Linked DNA regions of Diceros bicornis minor. The protein of the gene in region 1 interacts with the protein of each later gene in a pairwise test. Links are inferred from orthologs where the notes say so. Each region holds a gene or a part of one and is shown in the gene's direction. Other genes may lie near its edges.

Evidence for each region.
Region 2: the proteins of DAXX (region 1) and BTBD6 interact in a two-hybrid assay, tested with the Homo sapiens proteins (2 studies listed by BioGRID and IntAct). The link is inferred for Diceros bicornis minor from reciprocal best matches to the Homo sapiens genes DAXX and BTBD6.
Region 3: the proteins of DAXX (region 1) and MX1 interact in a two-hybrid assay, tested with the Homo sapiens proteins (2 studies listed by BioGRID). The link is inferred for Diceros bicornis minor from reciprocal best matches to the Homo sapiens genes DAXX and MX1.

The regions. Positions count from the first base shown.
Region 1 is NC_080753.1:31,142,798-31,146,541, forward strand, and holds the start of DAXX (death domain-associated protein 6), read left to right. Parts: upstream 1-1,170; 5' UTR 1,171-1,380; intron 1,381-1,584; exon of another isoform or gene 1,585-1,679; intron 1,680-2,547; exon of another isoform or gene 2,548-2,550; 5' UTR 2,551-2,599; coding exon 2,600-2,806; intron 2,807-2,950; coding exon 2,951-3,744. UniProt on the Homo sapiens protein: Transcription corepressor known to repress transcriptional potential of several sumoylated transcription factors. Down-regulates basal and activated transcription.
Region 2 is NC_080763.1:49,662,004-49,665,747, forward strand, and holds the start of BTBD6 (BTB/POZ domain-containing protein 6), read left to right. Parts: upstream 1-1,363; 5' UTR 1,364-1,404; coding exon 1,405-1,763; intron 1,764-1,888; coding exon 1,889-1,979; intron 1,980-2,116; coding exon 2,117-2,235; intron 2,236-2,411; coding exon 2,412-3,444; 3' UTR 3,445-3,744. UniProt on the Homo sapiens protein: Adapter protein for the cul3 E3 ubiquitin-protein ligase complex. Involved in late neuronal development and muscle formation.
Region 3 is NC_080766.1:41,178,376-41,182,119, forward strand, and holds the start of MX1 (interferon-induced GTP-binding protein Mx1), read left to right. Parts: upstream 1-1,309; 5' UTR 1,310-1,358; intron 1,359-1,916; exon of another isoform or gene 1,917-3,266; intron 3,267-3,744.

The DNA.
Region 1 (3,744 bases):
TCCTCAAAAAAAAAAAAAAAAAAAAAACAAGGTAAGATTATCCCCAGGAGATTTCATGGTTGAGAAGGATATTTTTTGGGGGGTGGGGGTGGGGTGGGGGTGGGGTGGGGGGAGACAGTCTATTGTAAAAGGGAAAAGGAAGAAGAAGAACTTCTGCTGCTGGCGTTTATTCAGGAAGACCAATTCTGGGAAAATTGAGGATCTGGAAATTAAATCCCTTTTATCTTCTAAGCCCAAATACCCTTTGGAGAGTTTTCATGTTCCCCAACTTAAAGACTGTAGGCTTAGACGACTGGAGAGAAGTGGTGTGGGATTCTTTAATGGAAGGGAGGGTTTGAGGTTCTGGGACTCTGAGAGCTTAGGGATGTAAGAGCCTCTGTGATCCTAGAAAGTGGCAAGATGCTCACCACTTAGGAATGCGCAAGGATGCAGGAGGTGGGAATCTCAGCGATTAGGACCGTGTTAACCTTTCCGGTTTCCCCATACGCTCACCTTTGGACCCAGCCTTGCCTTCACGAGTCCTCCCAGCCTCTCTAAAGCTGGGCGGGGTGGGGGTGCGGGCGAGGCAGGCATCAAAGTCGGTTTCTTCTCTCTTCGTTCTTCCCTCAGCTCTCCCAGAGAAAGAGGAGACGAGACCCGAGGTATTCTACGAGCCTGATTTCGTCTCACAGCGGCAATTTGCACAGATTCTCCTCAAAGCCCCCGTCCCACATCTTTTGGACTCAGGTCCTGGAGTTCCTGGACAAAGCACGGCCTCTTGGTTATCACCGCCTATGCCTCGGGGAAACCCCTGAGAAAAGGACAGAGACCCACCTACGTCCCACCGGCTTGTTGGTCGTTAGTTCTGTGGAGGAGCTTGAAAAGACGTCAACAACAATAGCAATAATAATAACAACACATTGTATAGCGCGTTTGCATGCGTGTGTTATGATTTCACGATCGGGAGATGTAGGCACCTGAACGGAGAAGTAGCTGCTGGACAGCGGCAAGGGAGCGCGCAGCCCGTAGAAGGGAAGGGGCAGGCGCAGTCGGTTAAGCCGTGGAAGTGGGTACCTGACCGTAGGAAGGCAGAGCCGGAAGGAAAGGAAAGGTTATAGCCTGGCGGAAGGAAAAGGTTATTTCCCTTTTAAGCGACTCCTGCCCTTCCGCGAACCCCTGTGTAGCCTTGGAGGGCCCAATTCCTTAGCTGTCCAGTTCCGTTCCCCGCCTGCTTGGAAACGGGGCTCAGCGCTCCCCGCACGCAACTCGCTGGCAGCCGGGCCGGAAGCAGGAAGTTTCTGATTGGCGGAGTCGCAGAAGCACTGGGTGAAAATAGCTCCGCTGGCTGCGCGCCCAAGTCCTAGCTCAGCCAATGCCGTACGGCAAAATGGCGGCCCCCACGTACACCGGGACTCCCTGCGAGGACGACTCCGCCCCCTACAGGTCCGGAAGGGAGCCGCAGACTAGGTGGGCGGCACGGGAGGCGCTCGGGGGACGGGCCTACCGTCACCTCCGGCCCGGGGGGCGGGAGCGGCTGGGTTCCGTACGACAATATGGCCGCGGTCGGGTACCTGTAGGCGGAAGCTCCGCGACTTCCGGTCCAGAGTAGGGCCTGCGGTGGGAGGGGGAAGGAAGGCGGAGGGAACCATGCGAGGTTCTGAGATCAGCGGAGAGGGTCGCCTCGAGAGACCGTTTCTGAGGTGGGGGCCGGACCGTGCGGGGAGCGAAGGCAGGGGCGGGAATGTCGAGGGAGAGGTATTGGGGAGTCCCGGGCGCTGAGTCTGAGGGGCAAGCTGTGGTACCTTCCTTCCTATCTCTGAAGGGGAGTGGGGCGCCGGGGGCTGAACTGGGGGAGGGGGACTTGGCGGGAAGCTCATCCAGGGGGGAGGGGCTGGACCCAGGGTTGGGATCCGAGGGGAATCGGGAGAGCCCAGTGCGGTGATCACAGTCGGTTACAGGTCACAGAGAGAGAATGGGGAAAATTAGGGTGGGGTGAGAGGGAGGGGACTTGGGGTGAAATATCTCCAACCTAACGCCCCGGTTTGAGGAGACCTATCAGAGGGTAGAATATGGAGATAATTCAGGTAGGAGAAAGGGGAGTGGATTTTTGGGAGGGAACCTCCCTCTCCTGAGAGAGTCTAGGAGTTGGGGTGATCCTTCAGGACGGGGTGAGGGTGTGGATTTGACGTGTCTGAGAGCGAAAGGGGGAAAACACGTGAGGTGGTGCCGACGGGGGTGTGGTGTCTGTGCAAGGGGATGTCAAGGAAATCTGGAGTGCAGTGGGGAGGGTGGTCCAGGGTTGGGAGGAATCAACTTGCCAACTATGACAAATAATGGGGAAACGCAACAGAAAGACCGGATATCGACTTGAGGGGTGGAGCTGGGGGTGGGGCTCCCGTAGTAAACGGCCAGAAAGCATATGGTACCAATGGTTGCTCAAGATAGGCAGTGAGGAGACTGTTGGGCAGGGCCGGGTGTTACTGAAACCCAAGAAGATTGGAAAATGTGTGAGATGAAGGGATGGGGCTGTGCTGGAGGGGCTCTTTCTGAGGCCCCACCCCCTTCCAGCAGGAATTCCGAAATCCCCAACACTTCCTCCCTCCTGGGGATTTGATCCCCCATGGCCACCGCTAACAGCATCATCGTGCTGGATGATGATGACGAAGATGAAGCAGCTGCTCAGCCAGGGCCCTCCCACCCACCCCCCAGTCCGGCCTCACCCCGGGCAGAAGCCCCTGGCTCCTCCCAGCCCCATAGGGCCAGAGGAAGCAGTAGTTCGGGCGGCAAGAAATGCTACAAGTTGGAGAATGAGAAGCTGTTTGAAGAGGTGAGCTTTAGGGGAGAAGATTCTTCTTGTACCCCAGGGAGGGGGATGGCTGACTGGCTCTCCTGTCCTTTCTTCCCCACTAACCTTTCTCTTGATCCCTTCCCTTGTCTCTTCCCCACTCCCTTCTTCCCCTGAACCCTCTAGTTCCTTGAACTGTGTAAGACGCAGACGGCAGACCACCCTGAGGTGGTCCCATTTCTCTATAACCGGCAGCAGCGGGCCCACTCTCTGTTTTTGGCCTCAGCGGAGTTCTGCAACATCCTCTCTCGGGTCCTGTCTCGGGCCAAGAGCCGGCCGGCTAAGCTCTATGTCTACATTAATGAGCTCTGCACTGTTCTCAAGGCCCACTCAGCCAAGAAGAAGCTGAACCTGGCCCCTGCTGCCAACACCTCTAGCGAGCCCTCTGGGAATAGCCCTCCCACAGACCCCACCTCGGACCCCGCGAATGCCGAGACTACTGCTGCTGAGGCCCCAAGGACCCATGGTTCCCGGCGGCAGATCCAGCGCTTGGAGCAGCTGCTAGCGCTCTACGTGGCAGAGATCCGGCGGCTGCAGGAAAAGGAATTGGATCTGTCAGAATTGGACGACCCCGACTCCACGTACCTGCAAGAGGCGAGGTTGAAGCGGAAGCTGATCCGCCTCTTTGGGAGGCTGTGTGAGCTGAAAGACTGCTCTTCACTGACGGGCCGGGTCATAGAGCAGCGCATCCCCTATCGGGGCACCCGCTACCCAGAGGTTAACAGGCGCATCGAGCGGCTCATCAACAAGCCAGGGCCCGATACCTTCCCTGACTATGGAGATGTGCTGCGGGCTGTGGAGAAGGCAGCTGCTCGGCACAGCCTCGGCCTCCCCCGGCAGCAGCTCCAGCTCATGGCTCAGGATGCCTTCCGAGATGTGGGCGTCAGGTTGCAGGAGCGACGCCACCTCGATCTCATTTA
Region 2 (3,744 bases), on another chromosome or scaffold:
GGACAAAGAAACCCTTCAAAACGCCCCAGAGAACAGAAATCTCACGGGACACGCTCTACCACTCTGAGTGTAAACAAACTGAAAATCAGCAAGAGACAGATAAACACAGCCCCTTCACCTCCAAACGAACTAATAAGAAATTAAAAAACAATCTTTTAAGTAACTTTATAGACTTATACACTCAATTAACAAAGAATTAACAAACTAAGCAGTTAAGTAGAAAACTAAAAATAAACAAGATAAAGTATTTAAAGTAGGCAAAAAAGAGTAATAAAGAAAAATAAGTAAATAAACAAATTATCACCACCAGGAAAAGAATTTTAAAAGATAAAACCAAAAAACAGTAGAGTACTGGCATAAAGACAGAAAATCGACAGAACAGAATAGACCCCAGAAAGGACCCCCGCACAGGGCCACAAGGTCCCGACGGGGCGGGGACTGCACAGGGAACAGGACAGTCGCTCCCACAAACGGGGCTAGGAACACTGGCCGTCCACACGCGCAGAGTGAAGACCGGCCCTCATCTTACGTCATTTACAACCATCAACTCAAAATGAATTAAAGATCTAACTGTAAGACACGAAACCATAAAAACTCTGGGAGAAAACGCAGGGGAAGAGGTTCCGGACACTGGACGTAGCGGTGATTTCTTGGACGAGGCACCAAAAGCACAGACGACAAAACCAAAAGTAGACAAATCAGACCATGTAAACTCTAAAATCGGGAGAAAATATGTGCGAACCACGTGTCGGATGGGGGATGGGGGAACCTCCGGAACGCGCGGGCAGCGCCTCAACCCACAGCCCGGACTCAAGCGCCGGCAGACGACCGAGCGCAGGCTCTCCGAGGAGACGCGGACGCCCGAGCGCAGAACCGCGCGCCCGTCGGGGTCGGGCGGCCGCCGTGCCCTCCGTCCCGGAGCTCCTCCGGCCCCGCCCTGCCCCGCGCCCGCCCTTGAGGACACTGCGCGGGGAGCAAAGGCCGCAAGGGTCCGCTGAGGAAGGCACCCCCACGTCGGGTCCTGCGCGGGGCTCGCACGACAGCGAAGCCACAGGCTGCCGGGCCCGCCCTCACTGCCCCTCCCGCAGGCCCGGCTCCTGGAGCACACCGCCAGGGGCGGGGCCGGGACGTGCACGTCATCCGCGCGAGGGAGAGGCCAGGGCCGCCGGCGTGCACGGCGCCCACGCGGAGCGGGGCCAGCGCCGGGACGCGCACGTCGTCCGCGCGGGGCGGGGCCGGCGCGGGGGCGGGGGCGGGGCGCGCCGTGACGCGGCGCGACGGGCGAGGGCGGGTGGACGGCGCCCCCTGCGGCCGGGCTGCGGGCTGCGGGCTGGGGGCTCGGCGCCGGCGGGCGGGCGAGCGGGGCGGCCCGAGCGAGCAGCGCAGGCCGGCCGCCGCGGCCCCATGCTGCTGCCCCTGGCCTGTCTGCACGGCCGGGTGGCGCAGTGCCTGACCGCGCTCCTCGTGCTCGCAGAGCCGCCCCCGAGACCCCGGCGCAGCACGAGGGCGCACCGCGCAACGCCCCGGCGCGCGGAGGCCGCCCTGCCCGCGAAGATGGCCGCGGAGCTCTACCCGCCCGCTGGCGCCGCGGCCGCCACCGCCACGGACATCGCCAACAGCAACGCCGCCGCCGCGGGCAGGAAAGGCCCGCCCAGCACCCCGCCGCCCGCCCCGCCGCCGCCCGCGCCCGCGCCGCCCGCGCCGGACAACAACAACTTGGAGAGCCCCAACTGGCAGTCCTTCCACCCGACCCTGCGCGAGAGGTGAGCCCGGCCCCAGCCCTCCGCCCCACGTCCGCACCCCTGCTCGGCCCCGGCTCCAGCCCCCGCGCCCCGCGCCCCGCGCCCCGAGCCCCGAGCCCCGAGCCGTGTGCTTCTGCCCTTTGCAGGAACGCGCTGATGTTCAACAACGAGCTCATGGCTGACGTCCATTTCATTGTGGGGCCCCTGGGCGCGGCCCAGAGGGTGCCTGCTCACAAGGTTGGTAGCGGCTGGGCCCTTTGAGCTCCCGAAGGGACCAGCCATCTCCTGAGTATGTACGGTGCTCTCCCCGGGGTGTGGCAGCCGCCGGGGGCAGGGAGGACCAGGGGCTTAGGGCAGCGCTCTCTCATCCACAGTACGTCTTGGCCGTTGGTAGCTCTGTCTTCTATGCCATGTTTTATGGGGACCTGGCAGAAGTCAAGTCAGAAATCCACATCCCCGACGTGGAGCCTGCAGCTTTTCTGATCTTGTTAAAGTAAGTCTGCTCCATTAGCGTGCAAGGACGGGGTGGTTCCTTGCTGCCTGGTTGCCCCCAGCCAGCATCCTGCAGCTTCCGAGGGGAAGGCCACAAAGACTGATGGGCTTGTCTTTTAGGCCCTGGGTGCCTTGCGTGCCCCATGCAGCCTGTGATGTGGTCCCTGTCCTGTCTAGGTACATGTACAGTGACGAGATCGATCTGGAAGCCGACACAGTGCTGGCCACGCTCTATGCTGCCAAGAAGTACATTGTCCCCGCGTTAGCAAAAGCCTGCGTCAACTTTCTGGAGACAAGCCTGGAAGCCAAAAACGCCTGTGTCCTGCTGTCCCAGAGCCGGCTGTTTGAAGAGCCCGAGCTGACCCAGCGCTGCTGGGAGGTCATTGATGCACAGGCTGAGATGGCCCTGAGGTCTGAAGGCTTCTGTGAAATTGACTGGCAGACACTGGAAATCATCGTGACCCGGGAGGCCCTCAACACCAAGGAGGCAGTGGTTTTTGAAGCCGTGCTGAACTGGGCCGAGGCAGAGTGCAAGAGGCAGGGCCTGCCGGTCACCCCTCGCAACAAGAGGCACGTTTTGGGGCCAGCCCTCCATCTGGTCCGAATTCCAACCATGACCTTGGAGGAATTTGCCAACGGTGCTGCCCAGTCGGACATCCTGACGCTGGAGGAGACCCACAACATCTTCCTGTGGTACACAGCAGCCAACAAGCCCCTCCTCGACTTCCCCCTGACCAAGAGGAAGGGTCTCGCCCCACAGAGGTGCCACCGTTTCCAGTCTTCTGCCTACCGCAGCAACCAGTGGCGCTACCGAGGGCGCTGCGACAGCATCCAGTTTGCCGTGGACAGAAGGGTATTCATCGCGGGGCTGGGCTTGTACGGGTCCAGCTCTGGGAAAGCCGAGTACAGCGTGAAGATTGAACTCAAGCGGCTGGGAGTGGTCCTGGCTCAGAACCTGACCAAGTTTGTCTCGGACGGCTCCAGCAACACCTTCTCGGTCTGGTTTGAACACCCCGTGCAAGTCGAGCAGGACACCTTCTACACGGCCAGTGCCGTCCTGGACGGCAGCGAACTCAGCTACTTTGGGCAGGAGGGCATGACAGAAGTGCAGTGTGGGAAGGTGACCTTCCAGTTCCAGTGCTCTTCAGACAGCACCAACGGGACCGGGGTCCAGGGTGGGCAGATCCCTGAGCTCATCTTCTACGCCTGAGCCACCACAGGGTGGCGGGTTGTGCTGTGAGGGGCACAGGAAGGCTGTGCCGCGGGGCCTTTCTCTGCAGCCAGGAGTGCAGGACGGTCTGCTACCCTTTACTTTGCAGTTGACTGCCTTAAAGGCTGTCACCGTTATTAAAGGCTTCCATTTCTTTGTATCTCTTTTTTATTAGTCATGTAGCACCAGGCTGTGGCATAGACACTTTTCTACACAGCCAGGGCATCAGTTTCTGAATCTTGGCCGCTGGGCCTCACAGGCATCTCATTTCCTGTATTTGGGGCGCACGTCTCAGGTGGA
Region 3 (3,744 bases), on another chromosome or scaffold:
CACGCCTTGTTTTCACTTTTGCCCATGGCTCTGTCTGAATTCATTCCTGAACATGCGTCACTGGGGAGAGCCTCCTGTGGTCTGAAGAGGCAGGATCATTCCACAGAGTTGAGTATTAGGGCCACGCATGCCTTGCTCACAGCTCCCCCTGCATTTCAGGGGCACTTCTACTCCTTCAGAAAGCTCTAACCCCTCCTGCTCACAGCCCACCAGGAAAAGATGTCACTCTTCCTCCTAACTGCAAGTACCTGAAGCCCAGAGGAGTGAGTAGCCGACAAAGGTTTCTCTCTAATTCCTGGGAGAGCCTGTGTCCTCCCACCAGGCCACCCTGGATGGGATCACCCAGACCCCAGCAATGGACTCTGCAGAGCCAGGTGACTTCGGGCCAGGCAGGGAGTTGGCTGTGGGGCCTCCTCCTCGTCTCTTGGTGCAGCCATATTGAATTTGGTTCCCCCCAGGCTTTCCCTGACTCTAGAACTTGGAGCTGGGGCAGGTTCCAGGCCTTTGAGTGGGGTGGGGGCTTGTCTTCAGGGACTCTGAGTTGAGCTAAGGAGAATGGAGGTGGGGTACCAGGCCCTTCCAAAGGGAAGTGTTATTCCCCATGCACAGAGTCCCCACAGGGAGGGCTGCTCTTGTGTCTGCGTGACTTCAGGCCCCCACCTTCCACCCATTTCCATCCTGGAGAAATCAGATGAGCCAACCTCCAGGGAGGGCTTGAAATGGACAAGGAGAATTGGGAAGGAGGATGATGTGGGTCAGCTTGGGGAGGGGGAGGGAGGGGGGAGCTGCTATTAACATAGAATGCTTGAGAATCCCTGCTGGTGCCCCAATGACCCCAGTGAACCTCCAGCAGGAATTTAAGACACCCAATTATCAGTGCATCTGTTCAGAAGGCCAGGGGTTAAGGGACCCGCTAGGGTCAACGCTACGTTCAGCTTTGGATGACTCGAAGCTGTTAGAGCAACGATTCTCAAACTGCCCCCAGAATCGTCAGAAGGGCCTGATAAAACTCAGGTTGCTGGGCCCTGAGTCCGAGTTTCTGGTTCAGCAGGTGTGCTGGGGAGGGGTGGGGGGTGGGGGGCGAGAATCTGCATTTCCCTCAAGCTCCCAGGGATGCGGATGCTGCTGGTGGGGATCGCACACGTGGAGCGCCTCGGGGAGGCTGCAGCTGGGCGCGGGGCGCAGGGGCGAGCAGCGGTTCGGTTTCGTTTCTGCGGCCGGTTGCCCCACCGGCCCTTCCGCTCTCCCGCCCTCGCGTCCCCTGAGTTTCGCTTCCCCGCGGCCGGGGGCGGGCGGCGCCGCGCGGTATAAAGCAGAGGAGCGGCGGGCGTCCGGCGCTCATCGCTGCGCGGGGACAGGTGAGTGTCGCGCTCCTGGGTCTGCGCACTCTCCAGCCGGCCAGCGGGGCTCCGAGAGGGGCGTTTGGGCGGCTGGCTGCGGAGACCAGCGCTCCGGGGTGTGGGCATTGCAGGGGCTAGTATTAGGTAATAATTAATAATAATAGTAACAATAACAATAATAATAATAATAATGGCGATGTCGGCTGGGCTCAGAGCACGCTTGATTCTACTTGCAAGGTTCTTGAGTGACTCATCAAAAACAGCCCCCCAGACCTACGGCTTTTCTGCTTGAGGAAGTGGCACGGTGGAGGGGATGGGGGCCCTGGGGGTCTCTGAGGGAGCCGGTTAAGGGGGGGCGCACAAAGTTTCGCATCCACTGCTGCGTGGCCTCCGAGCCCACCCCAGACGCCGACTATCGCTTGACGTCATTTTATATTTTCTGCTAGGGAGGCAAACCAGACAAGTCAACAGTCGGGGGAGGGGGGTCCTTGGAAGTGCAGAGACAAGGGGTCTTCACCGAACCTGCTAAATACAGGCAGGTCCAAGTGAACGGTCCCGCCTGGCGAGGACGTTCTGGGTACCACAGTCGCGCAGACGGGAGGAGGGGCTGGTGGGAGAGACGAGGCATGCGTGTTGCACCCCTCTCTCTTCCGGCCGGAAGGGGAAATACTCAGCGACTTCCCCCTAGCTTGTGCGCTTGGGTGCCACTGAGTGGGCCGGACACACATAGTTTGGGGGGATGGAGAGAGGTAGGACAGTCCTGGGGACTGACAGAAGGAACCCAGGCACTGCTGAGATTTGTGCTCCCCACCGCTGGTGGCCTCTGAGTTGTGCACGTGGGATTCTCGGAATTATTTGGTCAAATTTTAAATCAAGTTGGTGGAAGCAGGGTCAAGTGATGCTAACCTCCAGTTATCAGTCCCCAACAACTCCTAAAATGTCTAACCGTGTCCTCTTTCTATTTTGGAACAGACCTGCTGGCAGGGAGTCCCCCAGCCTTTCCATGTGGACGTGCGCCCCATTTTCTTCCTGACTTCCCTTCTCCCTGCCTCCTGACACTCAGTGTGTTTTGGTAGCGAGCATTAGGTCTAAAGTACAAGATGTTTTCCCTTTTAATCGTAAAAAACTTAAATGTCACTGGGCTTTTGGAAGGCAAAACACTTTCAGGAGAAAAAGCAAATCTAAATCCTTCAAGGATTATTCTTAAAACTAGACTGAATTATGTTGGACAAATTACAGACTCTATGAATCAGACATTCTCTAGGATGTGCTTGTAGGTGATCCCAGGGTTAGGGGTTGTGCTTGTAGGGGTTGGGGGGCGCTAAATCCCCCCTCCCATCCCTGCTCTTCTATGCCGTCTGGGCTGAGGAAGCTTTCCCACAAGGATGGAAACCCATTGGGCAGCAGTTTGATGTCAGCCACACCCCCCACTGCAAGGATTCTCCAGTGACACTGCTAATAGACGGCATCCAGTTCTGGAAGCCACAGGCAAACTACTACTCCCTAAAATCTGGAGTGGAGGAGGCAGCCAGCCAGCCACCTCTACGGACAGTGAGAACTTGAGGGGACACAGACCTGCCCTGGGCAAGAATGGGAAGAGCCCCTGCACCTGGGCAGTTTCTCCCCTCCCTACCCCAACCTTAGGAGTGAGAGAAGAGCCCGGTACAGTAACCCCACCCATGACCGATGGGGGTGTGCAATAGTCAGGAAGATGAGGGCTGGAAAGGAGAGAGATTTAAGGTGGTGTGCCCACCTCGAATTTCCCTGCAGTCTTGTCTGCAAACGCAGGTACGGGTGAGACATTTTGTGAGCAGTTTGAGGCTGAGAGCTCATAGTCACCGCTGCTTGACTGTACCACGGCCAACACTGGGCCAACATATTCTATCAGCATGACAACTGCAGCTGGATGCTGAGTACAATGAACAAGTAAGAAACTGGTTTTAGTGGCTGAGATTGCCCTGTTCCTGAAATCCAAACTGATTTTCAAAGATGATCCAAGAAAGGTACAAACATTTAAGATGTACAGAAAACCAACAAGTTTTGCTTTTAGGGGATGTCATTTTACAAAACAAACAAAGGAAGGGAATACATTCACAAAGTCTTGTTTTGACTCATCTTGAACCCCTGGTCATGGGGGTGCAAGCCTTGGAGACCAGTGATGCTACCTGGCTGGGTGCAGTAAGGCCAACTGACACAGCTGTGGTCTTCAACTCGGGGCCCCCGCCTGGGACCCCCTGGGCACATGAGTCTTTCCAAAGGCATGAGGGGGGTTAGGACATAAATTTCCAGATTGCCAAATTCTGTAAATACTCTTTTAAATTGATCACCTTTCAAAATCACCTTTCTCCCATTTTATGAAGAAAGGAATGCATCCCTCTCTCCCTTTTGTTTTTGTTTGTTTGTT